Linked DNA regions of Arabidopsis thaliana. The protein of the gene in region 3 purifies or fractionates together with the protein of the main gene of each other region. This does not show direct contact. Each region holds a gene or a part of one and is shown on either strand. Other genes may lie near its edges.

Region 1 (7,578 bases), on a different chromosome or scaffold from region 3:
CTTGATTATGCTCTGAAACTTCTGAAAGAGTGAAGATCTTTGCTTCGTCTCCCATTGTTTGTTTGATTCTTGTCTACCAGAATTAACCCACCAAAACCTGACTCTGAGACTTAAAGCTCAAAACTTTATACAAGAGTGTGAGAGAGAGTTGTTGAGTTAAAGACCATTTGACGAATCAGTTAAATTCCGGTTTAATTTGGTTCGTTCTCAAAGTAATCGGTTGGTGAGTTTTGGAAGCTTTGAAAACCGGTTTAATGAAAATTGATTTTGAGTTTGTTCTCACATAGTCTGTACCTAATTGCTGCTCTACTGTTTTGGCCTTATGGTATTCATCTGTACGATTTTGAAAACATATGTGCCAATGTTGAACCGATGGGTTAAGTGGTTTGGTAGTAGTTGTTATTTCCGGTTGAGTGGATGGGGTAGGTAGGTAGGCAGTGCAAATGTTGCGGTTGTGCGCTCTAATTCTGCCTTTTTCATTCAAGATCGGTAGGTGAATGATGTGCAATAAATTTTATTATGGTACATATGAATTCTTTTCTCATAAGTAATATTTATGTAGTTTTATATTAGTAGATACAACTACATAAGAAAAATAAATTGCCGCTGCTTCATACCAACTGACCTTATTTATTAGGGACACAAATCTTTTTCTTTCTAAAGCTTATATAAAATGTACATATTATTCAAAATCAATAGATTGACCGGTGAATTTCTGACCTTGTAAACGAAAAGAGGTCTGAGAAGTTTCAAATTTGAACCATCGACAATGAAAAAAATACATTAGCCATGTTCTCTAGAGAAAAACAAGCAGGTTAACCAAAAGATTAGAACCATCATTTTCTTTATGTTTTTTAGTACCAAATAATGTTATTAAAAGAAAAAGTTATACTTTTAGGACCACCAAATCTTTTTCAATACTAAAAATTGTTGCTTTGAAAATATTAAATACAATTTACACATTAAAAAAAACTAATATATATATAATTTTAAAATGAACAATAAATATAAATAACTAAAATCGTGTTTGTTTGTTCATACACTATTTTCATTGAACTTCTGATACGATAAACAGATAACTAAAAAAAAAATTGAATGCATATGTTTTTGAATTACATCTTGAAATGATTTATAAGCTAAATAACTAGATGACTTTGTTACATAATCGAGCTAATGGTCGACCACACCATCATCATAGTTTACGCTTACCATTTCGTGTAATGAGCTGAATCGATTTATGATAATTTTGTTTATAAAATTTGATTAACCGACTGTAAGTTTATTAATTTCTCTATGATGCCTTGCATATCTCTATAAAGCTTTGTATTATGTTCTGAATTGCAACACATTTTATTGATATGATATGATGATAATTTAGCAATTAGGGTATCCTAAAAGCTCCTAAAACTTAAAATTGTATGACCAACCAATTTTGTAAAAGCAATAAGGAGTTTTTGTAAATCTTCAAAATATATTGGATCCATAACTCAATAACACAAAACTTGAGACTAAAATCATAATAAAGCTATACATTCGGGGCAGTTTTTAATATCCTGACTTGTTGGGTAAGTCTCTAAATATTCGTAGTTTGCATCCAAGTCCCTGACTTACTATCTTCTCCCAAATCTCCTTTTATTTTTACTTTCGTCCTATAAACTAAAATAAATAAGGAAAACACTCTTCTTCAAATCCAGTAGAGAGATTCAAGACGAGTCTCATCGAAAGTTCGAATCTTTCGTCATCTGATTAGCTTTCTCTTAGGGTTTATTTCGATTTCGATTTAGTGTTCTCCATCAATGGCGACACCCATGGTTAGTTCCGCTGGAGGATTACTAGCAATGCTCAACGAGCCTCATCCTGTTTTGAAGCTTCATGCGCTCTCTAACCTCAACAATTTGGTTGACCAATTCTGGCCTGAGATCTCCACTAGTGTCCCCATCATGTAATTCTCTTTTAAACCCTTTTTTTCCGGTTTGAGATTTAGGGTTTTGTTCTCTCACTTGATCTGTTTTTTTATTCGGGATATTCTAGAGAAGATTGTGGGATTTGGATTGTTTGAGCTGTGGTTGTGTGTAGGTCTTCTCGATTTGGGTATTAAAGTTCAAAATTTTGAGTGAGGGATTGATAGTTTGTGGCGATGCAGATTCAATGGGTAGGATAAGAAAAGTAAAGTTTTTTATTTTACATGACTAGCTTTAGCAAGTTCTGTAGTGATCTTTATAGATTATGAATGAGTAATTGTATCTAACTTCTTCCTGGACATGATTATGTTCTTTTACTCATGTAATGTAAAGGCTTGGATTCGTTTTGGTTTATCATCGTACATTCTAGTGGTATAGATTCCAGTTGTAGAGGCTGTGCTGGCGCAATGCTTAGGGTTTTATGATAATCTCTCTTTAATGATTTGCACTACTTGACAGCTTGACTCGAGAGAATTTTTTTTTTTACAGTGAGAGTTTATATGAAGATGAAGAATTCGATCTGCATCAAAGACAGCTTGCTGCTTTGCTGGTCTCTAAGGTGCGATTTCACGATTGTTAAACTTAAGTTTTGTCTAGTTGCGGATAATATTTGCTATATGTTAGTGGAGGAATGTTTAATTGTTGCTCTGAATACATTATGGTTATTTTTCTCCTTAAGAGCTGGTGGATAGTGGTAGAATTTTGGGACGTAGCCTTTTTCTAATCACGTTATATGTTTGTTTTACAAGATATGGGTTTCTTGATGATCGTGGTTGTTTTATCGCAGGTTTTCTATTACTTGGGCGAGCTTAATGATTCGCTGTCTTATGCCCTAGGAGCCGGTCCCTTATTTGATGTTTCAGAGGATTCTGATTATGTTCATACGCTTCTGGGTGAGGATTGAGAAGTTTGTTGATGTTTTTACTCTCTTCATGCTGTTCTCTGTCTGTAGACTCTAGCTAGGGTAACTGTTTAATGCAAATTGCTTACCAAATCAACTTGTCTCAACTCTCAAGGCAAGAAAAGCCTATATAGCCTGCACGACTTATTATCTTAAAAGTAGACTTGAAGCTTGTACATCCAGATATTGTTCTGCCTTTAAGTAGTATAATACTAGAAAAAGACAGATAAGTTGACTATTTGAGTTTTAATAAATGCTGGATGAATGTATACTCATCAGATGCTTCTTTTAAAATTTCAGCCAAAGCAATAGACGAATATGCCAGTCTCAGATCAAAGGCAGTTGAGTCAAATGAGATGGTGGACATTGATCCCAGGCTAGAGGCGATTGTTGAAAGAATGCTTGGAAAGTATGCAATGCTTATACATTTAATGCTCTTGTTTTCATAGTGCTTCAATTCTTCTTACATGGTTTTCCTTCTGCAGATGCATCAGTGATGGGAAGTATCAACAAGCCATGGGCATTGCGATAGAATGCCGGAGATTGGATAAGTTGGAAGAAGCTATCATTAAGAGCGATAATGTTCAGGGAACTTTATCATATTGCATCAATGTTTCTCATTCCTTTGTCAACCGCAGAGAGTACAGACATGAGGTGAGACTGATGTTCTTAGACAATAGTTAAGTAGAAAGGTGTTCTAATTCTATCGACTGATTAGAACTGTATAGTTTTGCCTCATCTGGAAGATAATGTGACCATTTAGTTTCTATGTTGCATCTTCCATTACCATGCCTGCAAACATGTATGCTAGCATCCTCTATGTCCTAAGCTGTAGCCAAAAGTCCTGTTTCAGTTTTCGTGATACCTATCTGAGATGTGTCAAGGCCTGAATTAAAAAAATCTCCCTTTTCTAGGTCTTTTAGTCTAGGCTGTTTAGTTTAGTCTTTATTTAAAAAAGGTGATGACATACTTGTCTACTCTTTCAGGTGCTTAGTTTACTTGTAAAAGTCTACCAGAAGCTGCCCTCTCCTGATTATTTGAGCATTTGTCAATGCCTCATGTTTTTGGATGAACCGCAAGGTGTTGCAAGCATATTGGAGAAGCTTCTTCGCTCAGAGAACAAGGATGATGCTTTATTGGCATTGCAAATTGCATTTGATCTTGTAGAGAACGAGCACCAGGCCTTTCTCTTGAGTGTTAGAGATCGCCTTCCAGCTCCCAAAACACGTGCTGTAGAAGCAACTCAGGCTGTTGAAACAACTATTGCTCCTAATGAGAACCCTTCGGGAGATGTTCAGATGGCAGATGAAACTCCAGCTCAGACAATTGTGCATGAGACGGATCCAGTTGATGCTACATATGCTGAGAGGTTAACAAAGATTAAGGGAATTTTATCTGGAGAGACATCTATTCAGCTGACACTGCAGTTTCTTTACAGCCACAACAAGTAAGTTACTGTTGCAGTTTTGATATCTTCAAGGGATATTTTTTCTTCTAAAAATCGTTTATTCCAGGAAGTAATCATTTGCTCCATTGATAATTTTGTCTTTCTGTAGATCGGACCTGCTGATACTGAAGACAATCAAACAGTCTGTAGAGATGCGGAACAGTGTATGCCACAGTGCTACAATATATGCTAATGCCATTATGCATGCTGGAACTACAGTGGACACTTTCCTTAGAGAGAATTTGGTAAATTATTTACTTTCACTCAAATATTTCTGTATGTTTGAGTTTAACTGTCTGTGTGGCTTAGTGTATTTAACTTTCTTTCATCATTCTTTTTTTTTAATGCCAGGATTGGCTAAGCAGGGCAACCAATTGGGCTAAGTTCAGTGCTACCGCGGGATTAGGTGTTATTCACAGAGGTCACCTGCAACAGGGTAGGTCATTGATGGCTCCATACTTGCCTCAGGGAGGAGCAGGTGGTGGTGGGAGTCCTTATTCCGAAGGAGGTGCTTTATATGCTCTTGGCCTTATTCATGCTAACCATGGCGAGGGAATCAAGCAATTTCTACGTGATAGCCTACGCAGCACTAATGTTGAGGTGATTAATTAATATCTTACTTCAATATAGTCTCTCATATTCCCTGGCAGCCTAATTAATACTTATTGGAAAAATATGGATGCAGGTCATTCAACATGGAGCTTGTTTAGGTCTTGGCTTGTCAGCTCTCGGGACAGCTGATGAAGAGATATATGATGATGTCAAAAGCGTGCTTTATACTGACAGTGCAGTTGCTGGTGAAGCTGCTGGCATCAGCATGGGTTTATTATTGGTTGGAACTGCTACTGAAAAGGCAAGTGAGATGCTCGCTTATGCTCATGAGACACAACATGAGAAGATAATAAGGTAATGTACAGTAAGGATATTTTTGGTTAAGAGGGGTGCATTTTGTCTTGCTTTAGTATTTCACTAATCAACATCCGGAATGCGTTTTTAGGGGATTGGCTCTAGGAATAGCTCTTACAGTATATGGTAGAGAAGAAGGAGCAGATACCTTGATTGAGCAGATGACGAGAGATCAGGATCCAATCATTCGTTATGGTGGCATGTACGCATTGGCATTGGCTTACAGTGGAACCGCAAACAACAAGGCAATTCGACAATTGCTGCACTTTGCTGTATCTGATGTCAGTGATGATGTTAGGAGGACTGCCGTTCTGGCACTTGGATTTGTCTTGTACTCTGATCCAGAGCAGGTCAGTTTCTGATGCTCCTTTTCTGTGACCACTGACTTCCATTTCTTTAGCGCTTCCAGTACTTTTGTGAGCGCTTACATTCCCTAACGGTTTACAATGTTTTTTTTTCTAAATTGTAGACTCCCCGTATTGTATCACTGCTTTCTGAGTCATACAATCCACATGTTCGCTATGGTGCGGCTCTTGCAGTGGGTATTTCTTGTGCAGGCACTGGCCTCAGCGAAGCGATATCCTTGTTGGAGCCACTTACATCAGATGTTGTTGACTTTGTTCGTCAAGGTGCTTTGATTGCAATGGCCATGGTGATGGTTCAAATTAGCGAAGCTAGCGATTCTCGTGTTGGAGTATTTAGGTTAGTATAAATCTGGTTTCTTCAGCATTGGGAGGTAGAGAATATCTTGGTAGACTGAGATTTTTCTATGTTTTGTAGGCGCCAACTTGAGAAGATTATACTTGACAAGCACGAAGATACAATGAGCAAGATGGGAGCGATTCTGGCCTCTGGTATCCTTGATGCTGGTGGTAGGAACGTTACTATAAGACTGCTCTCTAAGACCAAACATGACAAAGTCACTGCTGTTATCGGCCTTGCAGTCTTCAGCCAGTTTTGGTATTGGTACCCACTGATCTATTTCATTAGTTTGGCCTTCTCACCAACCGCTTTCATCGGTTTGAACTATGACCTTAAGGTCCCAAAGTTTGAGTTCATGTCACATGCAAAACCGTCTTTATTTGAGTACCCAAAACCCACCACGGTTCCTACAGCCAATACCGCCGTTAAACTTCCAACCGCTGTTCTCTCAACTTCAGTTAAAGCCAAAGCTAGGGCTAAGAAAGAAGCAGAGCAAAAAGCTATTGCTGAGAAAACATCTGGCCCTGAAAAGCCTGTCAATGAAAGTGGATCTGGAAAAGGAAAAGCATCAACTGAGAAGGAAGGAGACTCTATGCAGGTAATGTTGTCATTTCTAGCCTCTTCTAATAGCTTCTGTTATTGATTACCTGATTAGTCCTTTAATCGCTAGAATTCTAAGGTTTATTCTGTTTTACAATCACACACGTTAGACATTTTGAATTTCAAAGTTGGTGAATTCTAAAGGAATGTTTAATCTGGGTGTTTATTGTGTGTTTGGACCATCTGTGATTTGATAGTCTTGTCTCCACGAACTGTCAGGTCGATAGCCCAGCAGCGGTCGAGAAGAAAGCACCTGAGCCTGAGCCAGCGTTTGAGATTTTAGTGAACCCAGCTCGAGTAGTCCCAGCTCAAGAGAAATACATAAAGTTACTTGATGACAGCAGATATGTACCAGTGAAGCTAGCACCGTCAGGTTTCGTTCTTCTCAAAGACTTGCGTGAACACGAGCCAGAGGTTCTCTCTCTGACCGACGCACCAACTTCAACAGCTTCTCCTGCAACTGGTACAGCAGCGGCTGCACAAGGAACCCCGGCCTCAGCTATGGCCGTAGATGATGAGCCACAACCTCCACAAGCCTTTGAATACGCTTCATGATTTTATTTCATTTAAAATTAGTGGGAATTTGTTGTTGGTTTTATTGGTTTCTGTTGAAAGACAAAAGGCAGAGAGAAAAACAGATCTTTGAACTTTGAGATAACTGCTTCTTGTCATTTGCAACTGGTTTCATGTTCAACTACGATCTTGTATTAGGTACTTCTCTTTTTAAGTATTATCTAAATAATTAAGTGTCGTTTTATGTCTTTTAGTGGTACTGGTATATCTGATTTCTTCTACAACAAGATAGTAATAAACTACATTTTCTAAGTATTATCTAAATCCTTTTTAACCTCTATGTTTATATCCAAACACTTTGCTTAGGTTTGTTAACTTCTATAGTCATAATTGAAAAGTCTCTAGGGTCTTTGTTTTTCCTATTTTCTTTGTCAAAAGTGTATAGGGTCTTTTAAAACATTTGAGGTTTTACAAGTCTTACGTGTTTCATTATGTAATAGCACTAACCATTTATATATACATTTTTGCAGTCACTTTGTGAAATAAAT
Region 2 (4,679 bases), on a different chromosome or scaffold from region 3:
CGGTTGTTCCACCTATGTTGATGGCATTGACAAAGAAGGCAAAAGGAGTTTGTGGTGAAGTGTTTAAAAGTTTGAAGCAAGTTTCTTCTGGAGCAGCTCCTTTGAGTAGGAAGTTCATTGAAGATTTCCTTCAGACTCTTCCTCATGTCGATTTGATTCAGGTCTCTGAATTTTACTTTTGGATGTCGTTTTAGAAAACTGAATTAAATGTTATTCATTCATAAACTCAATAAGAAGTAGAATCTACATTTTTTAGAAAAATTTGACATCTCTTCCCAAAAGAAACAACTAAAATTGATTTAACGAGGCCATGACTTTTTGACTCACACTATTATTTTCTTTACATTTAGCTGAAAGTGTGTATAAAATGGATCACATTTTGTTGCAGGGATATGGAATGACTGAATCAACTGCAGTTGGAACACGGGGCTTCAACTCGGAAAAGCTTAGTAGGTATTCTTCTGTGGGACTACTGGCTCCTAATATGCAAGCCAAGGTAGTAGATTGGAGCTCTGGTTCTTTCCTTCCACCAGGAAACCGAGGAGAGCTCTGGATACAAGGTCCCGGTGTCATGAAAGGTAGATAGATTCTTCCTACTGTACTTCTTTACCAAAATAGTTGAGATTTTCCTTCTCAGTTCATGAATAAAGTCTTTTGTCAATGGTTCAAATCACTGAGAAACACTTGCATCCTAATAAATGTAAATATAGATTGGATCTTCCAACTTTCGTGGGGCTTATTTGGTGCTTGTGTTGATAGATTAGGCTTATTATCTTGTTCTTGATTTTGTGCTACATATTTTTATGGAACAGTTTTAATTTTACTTGGAGAGAATCTGAACACCGTTCATTTGTCTGTCAGGATACTTGAATAACCCAAAAGCAACTCAGATGAGTATAGTTGAAGATAGTTGGCTACGTACTGGGGATATTGCTTATTTTGATGAAGATGGTTACTTGTTTATTGTTGACCGTATTAAGGAGATTATAAAGTACAAAGGCTTTCAGGTAAAGGAACAGCAGTTTCTCTTTCAGCCAACTCTAAATTAGGAAATATTAATTCTTTGCATTTATGGTTTTTGCAGATCGCTCCAGCAGATTTGGAGGCTGTTCTTGTTTCACATCCCTTGATTATCGACGCTGCAGTAACAGCGTAAGTTCGAAAAAACAAATCTTGATCATTTACTAAACTAGTTTAATAAGTGAAAGATACTGCAAATCCAGTTTTGGAGAATTCGACAGAGTCTGTTACTCTACTGAAAGTATCCAAACTTTCCATTTCAGTGCCCCAAATGAAGAATGTGGAGAGATTCCGGTAGCATTCGTTGTCCGGAGACAAGAAACAACACTTTCAGAAGAAGATGTAATAAGCTATGTAGCTTCTCAGGTTAGGTTCCCACTAATTCAAAATGGCTTTTCCCATTTCAAAACACTGATCATTAATGTAATACATTATTATACATTACGTGTTCTAGGTTGCACCCTACAGGAAGGTGAGGAAAGTGGTGATGGTCAACTCTATACCAAAATCTCCAACTGGGAAGATATTGAGAAAGGAACTAAAGAGAATTCTTACAAACTCTGTTTCTTCAAGACTATGATTCTTTCTTCATTTGTTTGGTAATAAGTAGCAGACAGAGAGATCCACTAATATAGCCTTCATAACTCAATTCATTGGTTTTGTAGCATCAAAAGAAATAAACAGACACATTCTTTGATTCTCAGTGAATAAAGCATTGTAACCCAATACGGAAACAAAAATTCTTTCTGAGCCCAAAATGTAATTTTAGCCTTAGTATTTTATTTACATAAAAGTCCTTTTAATCGTTGGCTATTGCATTTATCGCCCAATACTTGTCTTTGAGCTCAAGAAATATAGTTTACTAAAAGGCTGGGTTTTTCTGGATTTCTTACTCCCAAACCGATACAAGATCGAAGCTTTGCCTTCTGTTTCTTCGAAAATCTACCATGGCTGCTCTACAATACCTTGAATCGCAGAAAAATGCGCACCCAGAGCTTGGTGAGTGGTACAATTCGCTCGCAGATCTGTACCAGAAGAAGCTCTGGCATCAGCTCACTCTTAAGCTCGAGCAGTTCATCGCTCTCTCTGTCTTTCAGGTCAATCTCTTGAATTTTCATCGTTTCGTAGTTCTTCTGTGTGATTAGGGTTCATAGATCTCGAGAAAGTTAATAGGAGTCGTCATGTTAGACTTGGGTTTATAGAGAGATCTGAAGGATTCGTTCCGACTCTTAGGTGATTTTTCAGATTCATTGAAAAGCTTTGTATTGGTGAATTATCGCACTTCTGTGACCAAAGCTTTCGAATATTTTAGCTCAGAGATACCCAAAAACTCAGCTTTACAAGGTTTACAGATTTGTTAATGACGTGTTTCCCCCTGTTTATGTTCATAATCTTTGCAGGCTGGAGATGCTTTAATACAGCTTTACAACAATTTCATCACTGACTTTGAGACGAGGATCAATCTTCTGAAGCTTGCGCATTTCGCTGTTGTAGTCTCCCGACAGTATCCTGAGAAAGAAGCTGCAGTTAGTTATCTTGAAGGAGTGATTGAGAAGCTTAAAGCTACTAAAGAGTCAAGGATAAATGAACCAATTAGCTATATAGAAACACAAATAGCTTTGTTCAAGCTTGAGCAAGGTGACCAGAAGGAGTGCAAGAAAATCTTGGACGATGGAAAAAGCCTGCTTGATAGTATGACTGACATTGATCCATCAGTTTATGCCAACTTCTTTTGGGTCTCTTCTCAGTACCATAAAGTCCGTCAAGAGTTCTCTGAGTTCTATAAAAATGCTCTTCTTTACCTCGCTTATACGTCTGTGGACTCACTCTCGGAATCATTTAAGCTGGTACGTCCCTCTGAATGTTCTAATCATTCATATATGATATATGTAGTCGTTACGTTACCAAATGGTCTTTTAGCAATTTTGGATAAGTATTAGCACTCTATGAAAGGAAACTTACAGTGAAAAATGCTTTATCTCTGTAAATTGCTTTGTGTTCCAATCAAAATGTTAATATCATATACTTTCGTTTCTTTCAGGATTTGGCTTTTGATTTGTCGCTTTCAGCTCTACTTGGGGAGAATATCTATAACTTTGGGGAACTGTTAGCCCATCCAATTGTAAGTTTCCCTTCATCCTCCAAATTAGCAAACCACAGATTTATTCACCATTATAGATAAAAGAACACTGACATGTTATATATGTTATGGCAGTTGAAAAGTCTGCTTGGAACAAATGTGGAATGGCTTTACCACATTCTACAAGCATTCAACCACGGAGATTTAGTTCAGTACCAAGAACTCTGTCGTGTGCACAATGCATCGTTGAGTGCTCAACCAGCACTGGTTGAGAATGAGAAGAAACTATTAGAGAAGATCAACATTCTCTGCCTTATTGAGATCATTTTCAGGTATTCATTCTCTGTAGGAGTCATCTTATACCCATATACAGATGAAAACAAACTTAGTACTTAACTTGTATATAACATCTTTGCCACAGCCGACCTGCTGAAGATAGGACCATACCTTTGAGTGTCATTGCCGAGCGTACTAAACTTTCAATCGAAGATGTTGAGCACCTTCTCATGAAGAGCTTATCGGTGAGTACCTTTTTCTTTCCTCTCTCTTTCTCTCTATCTCATTCTATCAGTAACATTAAAAATCTAAAGAAGATTGGCAAGACGCAGACTCGAAATCTTCTTGAATGTGTGATTCTGTATTGGTTGATTGTGAAAACTGAGGAGAATGAGTTATTGCAGGTGCACTTGATAGAGGGAATACTAGATCAGGTGAATGGAACAGTTTACGTCTCATGGGCGCAACCGAGGGTGTTAGGAATACCGCAGATCAAGTCATTGAGGGATCAGCTAGACAGCTGGGTCGATAAGGTTCACACCACATTGTTATCTGTTGAGGCCGAGACACCTGATCTTGTTGCAGCTTAAACTCTTCTTTCCTCTTTTTTCCTTCACTGTTCGTTTAAGCTACAGATTGTAACATTCTCTGAGGATTAAATGCAACTTCCTTTTAAGTTTTTAGGTATTACAGTTATACTTTTGAACTTTGTTCTCCACAGACACATGAATCTATCCTATTAAGTTGAGTTTCATCGTTAGTGTTGCCTTTAAGGCTTAAGCCTATTTGCATAACAAATGGTCCAACTTTTGTTATTAGACGTGTGAAAAACTCATAAATCTCAAATAGTGGAATGAATCCAAATTGTCAACTTCTGAAATGAAAAGTGTAAGGGTAAAATAGTCAAAACATATTAAACCCCAATTATCACCATCGTTTCGTTTCAATCAAAATTTTCCGATTTTGAGATTTTGAAACAGAGCAGTCAAGTCTCAAAGACTCCAGCTCATCTGTCTGCTTCGTAAGCTGCTCGCTCTCTAAATGTTTTGTCTTCTGGGGAATAGATTTTAGGGATCATCGGTAGATGCTGTTGGATTGACATAATCCAGATCTGATTTCTTCTACAAAAACATAGCTTTCTTCTCTGGGAACAATAGATTTTGATTGTTGTTTCTGGGTTTTAGATTTCTAATGTTGGGGTTTTGGTGATTCGATTTCTCAATAATGCTTCAAAATCGAAAATTGAATCGGTTAGAGCTATTTTGGGAATCTCTTTGCGTTAATTCGAATTAGCATATTTGCA
Region 3 (8,769 bases):
TTGAGCTAGTGAGATCAATTAGAGGACCAGATTCATCCAATCATTGATAAGTGCCAGTACCAACCTGATAAACGAGATACAGCAACATCTATGTCAGCCCACAAAGCACGATGAGTACTTGATCAGCCTCTTCCACATCCAGTTTCACGAACCCGGAAAATCTGCATCCCAAAACAAAATATCGGTGCATTCATGCATACATCCATACATGCATTCATGCATACATCCATACATGCATTCATGCATACATCCATACATGCATTCATGCATACATCCATACATCCATACATGCATTCATGCATACATCCATACATGCATACATTTTATACATTCATACATGCATACACATGCATATATATTTGCTTTCTTGATTTATTGATTAGGTCATTGCTTGCTACTTTAGTACATTTGTTAATAACTTGTTCTTGTTTGTTTCTTGTGCTTATCTCAGTTTGTAACGTGCTTGCTTGTTTCTTGCACTGATTGCTTACATGTTTAACTTGTTCACTTTATTCCTTCTTTGTTTCATTGATTATTTGATCGTTGCTTGACTTGTTTGTTTGTTTCCTTCTTGGTTCCTTGATTTACTTTACTTCATTGGGCAGCCTTCTTCTTGGATACTCGCTTACTTAGTTGTTTCAATCAATTTCTTTACACACTCGTTTGCTTGTTTCCTGATCCTCTGGTTTTTCTTTTTCTTTTTTACTTTCGTCGTCACTATTTCTTACATGAACTTCTCTACTTGTTTCGTTGTTTGCTTACGATTTTCATTTGGTTACTCGCTTTCTTTTGCTTTCTTTACTCCTTCCATAGTTCCATTGCTTGCTTAGACGTAATTGTTTAAGAAAAAATCTCCACAACATCCTCTTTGTTCTTGCAAACTCCATTACTTAATTCCGTTTATGCGTATCTTTTAAAATATCTACAACTCTTTAGCGAAATTTTATAATCCACACTATACAATTTAATTCGTTTTATATATGACATGTTTAGCAAAAAAAAATACCAATTGCTTTAATTTGTTTTTTATCCCCTTTTCCATTGGTTGATTATTATCTTTACAAAAAAAGATAAAATAATGTTTTGCTCTCACATGTTCACATGTGGATCGAAATATTAGTAAAAAAAAACTAATATGATAAGTATTATTTGACACATCTCATGATCTAAATTAAATTCCATTCCTTTTCATTTCCTTAATTCCACAATATGCAATTATATTTTTGTTTTTTCCCCCTTAATTGCTCTTGTTCTTTCAATTTTTTTTACATATTTTGCTCTAATATGTTCTAATAGCATTTCTGATTTTTTTCCTTCTTTAGAAAACTTTGACATATATAAATAATTAAACAATTATGAAATTGTCAAGCATCTCGAATAAAAATGGGGTAAAAAAACCTTTTCTAAAAGGGAAAAAACCCAAAAAAAATTTTAACTAATTTTTATTTGGACGTTTAATTCCCAATTTTGGGTTGGGAAAAAATAAAGTAATAAAAATGTGCAATTTAATACCCAAATAATTAAATGTTGTTATTTTCGATCCCACAACAAAAATAAAATTCCAATTTTACTTTACCATCTCAATTGATTATTAATCTTTAGATTATATGACATTAGTTTTATAATTTTGGATAAAAATAATTTTATTAACATATTTGTTTATGGTGTCTAGAAATTTAAAATTTTATTTTTATTATAATTATTCTATTTTAAAATTTAACATAAAAATTAATGAAAATCAAAAATATTTTAAATTGGCCGGTAAACAATTTGCGTTCGAATTTAAATCTTTCACGAATCAAACTATTTTTGACAAAATCTCAATCCGAATCTTATCGTCTTTTTCAATATTGACGGTTACTTTTTCACATTTCAAAATCTCAATATTAACGGTCCTTATAGACTTTTACCAAATCCACCATGTCCAATTTCATTGGTTGAGTCTAGAATATTTGAATCTCTTCTGGATTAGTTGCGCTTATTGCTTGTTTCTTTCTGATCAACTCGAACATGAATCATGACATTCCCGCACTCAAAAAGTGTTCGATGGAATGTCGGATCTACTAATTGCAGTGATACTCGTCTATATCCCAAGGCAATTGCCATTTAGAGCGTGTATTGGCTTTAACAAGTTGATTTGATATTGCCTGCTTAGTTAGAGATCGCTAATGGTGATTAGGTCAGTGTCTAGCTTTACTTGAGGATTTCTATCACGGTAGTGAATTAATCTGTTACTGAACTTGTTGTAGGGATAACTTATGTGAAGTTTTATCAACCATCTTAATAGATTAAGGAGATCACGCTATTCGATTACTTCATCCTTAGGAATCTTTTATCCATTTGATTGTCTGTTATCTCATCTGCTTTGTTATTCATCTACTTGCTATTGCCATTTCACATTTTAGTTTCATTTCATTTATGTTAATCGACATTAAGATTATTAGAAACTGACAACTCTCTGCTTGGCTTGACTTAGTAAATTCTGATTATATCTCATCTGTTTGCATCACACCAGATTGGATTGACAACCTTAAGTATTACAACGATATGATAGTGTTTTAGGAATTGATACCCTAAAAACCTATTATCACCAAGCTCGAAGACATCCCCGGGAGACACAAGCGTACGGTTGCTTTGTTGCCGCAACGTTTCAAAAGAAAACAACGTATTCGTATGACTTGAAGGTGAAGCAATCCAGCAGGGGAACCATGTGATAAGAGAGCACATGTGCGGGAGAAATATGCACGTGTGACGAGATGCTAGAAGAAAAAGAATAATATCTGCAATAGATGCAAGTGGGGATTGCTGCTTATATAGATGATCTCATTGTTTAGAGATTCTTTATGCTGATTGATGTAGAAGCTTCTGCGTGAGAATGGTAGATGATGAGCTAACCAAGATGATATGTTAGGCGTCTCCTTTGGTTTGTACATTGATCGGCGATAAGTTAATCAGAGTTTGGTGGCTTGATACTTATCACCATGTATACGTCGAATAGTTTTGGAAGATGATGAAAAAGATTAACTCCTGTGTATTCTGTAATCAGCAAGAACGAAGAACAGACCTGTAGTTACTATGATACATAAAAGTCAAATAGCAATTTATTCTACTTTGACTTTAAAACCATTCTGTTGGCAAGTAGTGGTGACTTAAAATTTTCATAACCTTGAATACTTTCAATGTTTTTGAACTAGCAATTCGAAAGAAACTCGAGATTGGTTATAATCTTCAGTGCCATACTCAATAAAAAAAACTAGCAATAATCCATAAGAAAGATGATTTATGGTTATCATTTGACCACATGAAGACAGCTACTCAAAAAAGTGTTTGGCTTTAAGTAAACATATGGTTTATAAGAGAAAGCATCATATCAGATTGGGCATTGATGATTAGGTATAACACAGAAAAGTCGTCATTCCAGCTTGACACGATCCATGTCGTTGATCACACCTTCAAGCTGCGCAATGGAGGAAAAAAAGAAAAAGACCCAAAAATCAAAACAAGAGTTGATGTGCACGAGTCTTAGTTTCAGTTTATACAACATACCTTGGCAATCTGCCGCAAGAAGAAATCACCATAACGTTTTGCGGGTTTTGATTCGACAACGTAGATCATGTCCTGCAGTGTCACCAGGTTTAGAGTTGTTACAAACGTTGTAAAAGCACCAGAGTATCGATATCAGAAAGACAGAGAGAGAAGAAAGAACATACGTTGTTGATGAAGAAATCAATGTCTGCATTGGAGATGATCCTACCATCGGAATCAACTGAATGGGTCTTGTGCTTGTATGTTAACAATATGGTCCTGCAAATTAAAACCCCGTACATGTCAAAGAAAAAGAGAGAAGTAGATTTGGTAATAATAGTTATAAGAATGCCCATAGTTAGTCCCTGACCTTAGAGTGGGCTCATCAACTTCCATGTAGTTTGCGAGCTTAGCAAGAGAAATGGAGGAGTAGACTTTCAGGAAAGTCCGCACTCCCGACAAGAGCTGCTGCTGCTTTACCTCGTAAAGGAACATCTTCAGCTGAAGCCTGTATGCATCCTGATTGTAATTGACAAGAGGTTCCTCGAAAGTTGGTGGTGCGGAAGGGGTGATAAACTTGGGGCATGCGTAAGAGAAGAGCTCATCATAAATACCAAAGGCCTCGTCGTCAGACCTCAGCATCCTCATCATCTTTTCACCATACTTGTCTCGCAGCTGAGAGTTGACAGACTCGTCAACGAGTTTAGTTTGAGGGCAGAGGGAGAGGGAGAGAGCAAGCAAAGCGTACATCTGCTCATTCTTCTTGAGTAATTGCTCGTACTGAGGTGACTTTTGATGGTACTGCTTAGTCTTGAAAATGTAGAGGAGAATCTTGTTGAACTCACGAACAGCATCGACATACCTCCGCAACATAAGGGTGGCAAATCCATAGTGGTAGATAGTAGCGATATGGCAACCAATGACACTGGTGTAAACACCTGGCTGAGTGATGTCAATGGGCTGCAACCATTTGAGAGCAGTGTGGTAGTCACCGAGGAGGCAGTGAACACGCAAGAGACCGACCATGCTGAAGTAACCGAGGACCTTCAAGACGTTGCTGCCACCGCTGAAATCGTAGCCATCAGTCTCAGTGAACTCAAGGCCATCCTTGTCATGCTCAAGGATCTGGATGATACAAGACTTCTCCACAAGTGCTTGCAAGAAGTTGAGCACGCCATAGACATTCCAGGCCTTATCGTGCTGTCTGAGCAATGCAATCTCCTCCTCTGTTTTGTTCTTGAGCTTTGCTCTGAATTGACAGAAACTTTGGAACTGGTAGACAAACTCATCCACCATATCCCACAACCACTGGTTCGGCAACTGCATATTCACTACGCCGTGCAACACAACCTAGAAAGAACAAACGGAAGAAGGTCTACTTACTTGTATTTATTCCCAGCCAATACATACACAAAAGAAATCAAAATCAACAACATCTCTATCTAACAAGGAAGAAGAAGTAGAAGAATTCCACAACAGACCTGAAAGAGGCTGCAATAGTTGTCATAAGAATCAATCCTCTGCTTCAACGTCGGAGACAACCTCGCATACAAATGTCGAAACCACATCTCACGGTACAGAAGACAGAACACATGGTCGTTGTCTACGTAAGGAGCAATCGCTTCCACACTTGGCCACGGCGTGTCCTTGAACAGACGCTCCGATATGCTCTGGAACGATGTCTCACACATCTGGTGGATCTCGTACACGTTCTTGTCCCTTATGTGTCTGTACATGTGTGACACGAACGATTTCACCGAATCCGGCACCATATTCGGGTCGTACCCACTCTCCCTCTCCCCTGGACCTTCCTCGTACTCATTGCTGCTCGCCATTCTCGCCGGATCAATTCTTAGCGGCCGCAACAATGTTAACTCTTCAACTCACTTCCACCGCCTAGGGTTTCCTTATTACCACCGGGTCTATCCTCCGGTTTGCTTTTACTACTAAATGAACGATTACCACCGGTTTGTTTATATCTCGATTTATTTTTCGGTTGTTTATCTATTTTACCGAATTAGACCAAAACTGAATCGAAATTAATTTTGTGTACTCTGACTCTCTCTCAAATCTCAATGTCTCAGCTTCTTCACCTTCACCGTCTCTCTCTTCCACAATCATCTCTTCGTTTCAGATTCCCGCCTTTACATCGCCGACGTGCAGCTTCGTCGCCAACTAACTCAACTCAACCCCCCCTGCAGTTTCGTCCTCTCACAGTCTCTAGATCTCAAATAACTTGCAGATTCAGCCAATCCGGTGAGACTTATCGTTTTTTCTTTCTTTTTTTCGATCTAATGAAACATTCCAAGTGATTGTATTAGATTCTTAGCAACATCTTCTTCATCTTCAACGAAATCATTGTAAGTTTTGCAGATATTACGCCACAATTTGAATTGGATAAAGCAAAAGACAATCGAAAACCACAAAAGCGAGCAAATGGCATATTTTGGATCATACTTATCAATCTGGGCATATATCTTGCTGATCACTTCTTTCAGGTATGAAAGCTTGTCTTTAGATATCAATCATCTACACTGTAAAACGTTATTCGTGTAATCCCATCTCTTTGGATTGTGACGTGCTTATCTTATCATACGTTTTATATTGTTTATTCGATTTAGGTTCGTGGGATCAAATCTTTGTATTTGTATCACAATTTTCCGGCATGGTATCAGTTTGTGACGGCTACATTCTGTCATGCTAACTGGTGAGAGAGCTCTCTTCTTTCTTTTTTACTTTGGCACTGTTCGTTTCATAATCGCTAGCGGCTGTGGCTGTGGCTGCGATTGCGATTGCGATTTTAAAATCGCAGGATGTTGTTCGTTTACCAATCGCTGCGATTAATCGCCATTTAAAAAGCCGCGTCGCTCTTTTTTCATGCGATCAAAAAATTCAGTCGCAAGCCGCAGCGATTGATCGCGCGATTAGTTGCAGGATCTTGCGACTGTCAAACGATCAACTTTCAGTCGCAGTCGCAGGCATCCTGTGACTACCAAACGAACAACACTTATGATAGTTTTTTTCTCTGTGGCTTATGTTGATGTTTCTCCTGATTCTTGGTTTTTTTTTTATGTATCATGTATGATTCTAGGAACCATCTCTCCAGCAATCTTTTTTTCTTGTACATATTTGGTGAGAGTTCAAGATTTTCTCATAGTTTGAATTTCTAGCTAGTTTATCGATTCAGAGAGCTAATGGACACATTTGGGAATCAGGAAAGCTTGTTGAAGAAGAAGAAGGAAACTTTGGTTTGTGGCTCTCCTACTTGTTCACTGGTGTTGGAGCTAACCTTGTTTCTTGGTTAGTTTTACCGAGAAATGCTGTTTCTGTTGGTGCCTCGGGAGCTGTTTTTGGGTTATTTGCTATCAGTGTCCTCGTCAAGGTACTGTAGTTTTCTTCTCTCCTTGTAAATCAAACTCCTCAGTAATATCTTGCTAATATTCAACTTCTTTTGATTGTCTAGATGTCTTGGGATTGGAGGAAAATCCTTGAAGTTCTTATATTGGGTCAGTTCGTTATTGAGAGGGTAAGATTTTCTCAAAATTTACTCACAGCATCACTACCGTTATAACCGTATTCCGGCTTACAGTCCCATCTTCTTATGAGTATAATGAGGTTTTTATACAATATATGAGAGAAAATGTCTGATGATGTATGCAATATAGAAGCTCTTCGAATTCAGGGACGATAACTGTTTAGTTAATTGATCTGAATAGGTAATGGAAGCAGCTCAGGCGTCGGCTGGATTATCAGGAACTATATATGGTGGATACTCTTTACAAACTGTTAATCACATTGCGCATCTCTCTGGTGCTCTTGTTGGGGTTGTTTTAGTTTGGCTTCTCAGCAAATTTCCTTCGGCATCTATGGATCAAGACGTTAAAAAGTCCTCGTAAAAATGACGAGACAAAACTTTTCGTGTAAGGAACATACTAGCTGTCCAGTGAATGCAAGGTAGATGAAACGATTGATAGATTGACAAAATATCCTTGTAAAAAAACTGAAGAACGGTCTCTAAACCGAGCCTTTGTGAGTAGTCTTTGCTATAGAATTCTGTCGCTAGTTTGTCTATGTTACTCTCATTGGTTTACCAATGCCACTAAGCATACGCAGAAGTAAGTGGATGTAGTTGTTGAGCTTACTTTTTGATTTCTATAATCTGTTAGATCTTACTTTTAATTAATAAAATCATTGTCTTAAAGCATACAACAACTTCAGTCAACGCATATTTTTGAAGAAGCAAGTCCAAGTCTGATCAAAGATTTGAGTTCTCAAATGTCTCAGCTTCACCTTCACCTTCAGCTTCACCGTCACTATCTCTCCCTCCCACATTCTTCTTCTCTTCGTTCCAGATTACCGTCATTACATCGCCGCAGTGTAGCTTCTTCGCCAACCAACTCTCCCCTCTATCTCAACTCAACTAACTCCACCGTCTTTCGTCCTCTCACCTTCGTCAGATCTCGTTCCAGCGAATCCGGTGAGATTTTTTAACCTCGAATTCGATTTTTCCATCATGTTTCCTTTACACTTGTAAAAGTCCAAGAAAATTTTCCAGACGTCACACCACAATTTGAATTGGATAAAGCACAAGACAAACAGAAACCACTAAACCAAGCAAATGGAATATTCTTGATCATACTTATCAATCTTGCCATATTTATAGCTCAACACTTCTATCAGGTACTTGTAGGATTTTTTTTCTTTTTTTAGTGTGAAGCATTGGTTTGTTAGGTGTTTTTCACATTGGTATCATACGTTTAGAAAAAAGTTATTTATTCGATATAGGTTCGCGGGATCAAATCGATGTATTTGTCTAGCGATTTTCCGGTATGGTACCAGTTTGTGACTGCAACATTCTGTCATGCTAACTGGTGAGAGCTCTCTGCTTACTTTTTGCTAAGTTCTTTCTCTGGCTGATGTTAACGTTTTTCTCTGGCTTATATATATCTATGATTCTAGGAACCATCTGTCCAGCAATCTTTTTCTCTTGTACATCTTTGGTGAGAGTTCAAGATTTTCTCATAGTTTTGACTCTATCTAGTTTATCGATTCGGAGTTAATAAGACAATGGGAATGGTTCTGTGGTTAACAGGAAAGATTGTTGAAGAAGAGAAAGGAAACTTTGGTTTGTGGTTGTCTTACTTGTTTACTGGTGTTGGAGCTAACATGGTTTCTTGGTTCACTTTACCGCCAAATTCATTTTTTTCTGGAGCCTCGGGAGCTGTTTTCGGGTTATTTGTGATC

What was found. Proteins that work in one complex are often made in the same cells at the same time.
Region 1: the proteins of AT5G25754 (region 3) and AT2G32730 fractionate together in Arabidopsis thaliana (co-fractionation; one large-scale study listed by BioGRID). This does not show direct contact.
Region 2: the proteins of AT5G25754 (region 3) and AT4G19006 fractionate together in Arabidopsis thaliana (co-fractionation; one large-scale study listed by BioGRID). This does not show direct contact.

What each region holds. Positions count from the first base shown.
Region 1 is NC_003071.7:13,878,393-13,885,970, forward strand, and holds AT2G32730 (26S proteasome regulatory complex, non-ATPase subcomplex, Rpn2/Psmd1 subunit), read left to right. Parts: upstream 1-1,566; 5' UTR 1,567-1,796; coding exon 1,797-1,942; intron 1,943-2,450; coding exon 2,451-2,520; intron 2,521-2,748; coding exon 2,749-2,854; intron 2,855-3,162; coding exon 3,163-3,271; intron 3,272-3,347; coding exon 3,348-3,516; intron 3,517-3,848; coding exon 3,849-4,309; intron 4,310-4,418; coding exon 4,419-4,554; intron 4,555-4,660; coding exon 4,661-4,909; intron 4,910-4,994; coding exon 4,995-5,215; intron 5,216-5,306; coding exon 5,307-5,565; intron 5,566-5,684; coding exon 5,685-5,917; intron 5,918-5,995; coding exon 5,996-6,515; intron 6,516-6,736; coding exon 6,737-7,072; 3' UTR 7,073-7,344; downstream 7,345-7,578. UniProt on the Arabidopsis thaliana protein: Acts as a regulatory subunit of the 26 proteasome which is involved in the ATP-dependent degradation of ubiquitinated proteins.
Region 2 is NC_003075.7:10,408,636-10,413,314, reverse strand, and holds AT4G19006 (Proteasome component (PCI) domain protein), read left to right. Parts: upstream 1-1,847; 5' UTR 1,848-1,967; coding exon 1,968-2,117; intron 2,118-2,420; coding exon 2,421-2,867; intron 2,868-3,061; coding exon 3,062-3,142; intron 3,143-3,235; coding exon 3,236-3,432; intron 3,433-3,521; coding exon 3,522-3,966; 3' UTR 3,967-4,167; downstream 4,168-4,679. Other genes in the region: AT4G19010 (AMP-dependent synthetase and ligase family protein), read left to right, coding at 1-161, 389-578, 862-1,007, 1,085-1,152, 1,284-1,386, 1,475-1,600. UniProt on the Arabidopsis thaliana protein: Acts as a regulatory subunit of the 26S proteasome which is involved in the ATP-dependent degradation of ubiquitinated proteins.
Region 3 is NC_003076.8:8,950,155-8,958,923, reverse strand, and holds AT5G25754 (RNA polymerase I-associated factor PAF67), read right to left. Parts: upstream 5,550-8,769; 5' UTR 5,361-5,549; coding exon 5,007-5,360; intron 4,876-5,006; coding exon 3,896-4,875; intron 3,805-3,895; coding exon 3,711-3,804; intron 3,619-3,710; coding exon 3,547-3,618; intron 3,458-3,546; coding exon 3,413-3,457; 3' UTR 1,585-3,412; downstream 1-1,584. Other genes in the region: AT5G25750 (uncharacterized protein), read right to left, coding at 7,781-7,929, 7,974-8,040; AT5G25640 (Rhomboid-related intramembrane serine protease family protein), read left to right, coding at 7,801-8,002, 8,081-8,205, 8,311-8,396, 8,485-8,525, 8,618-8,769.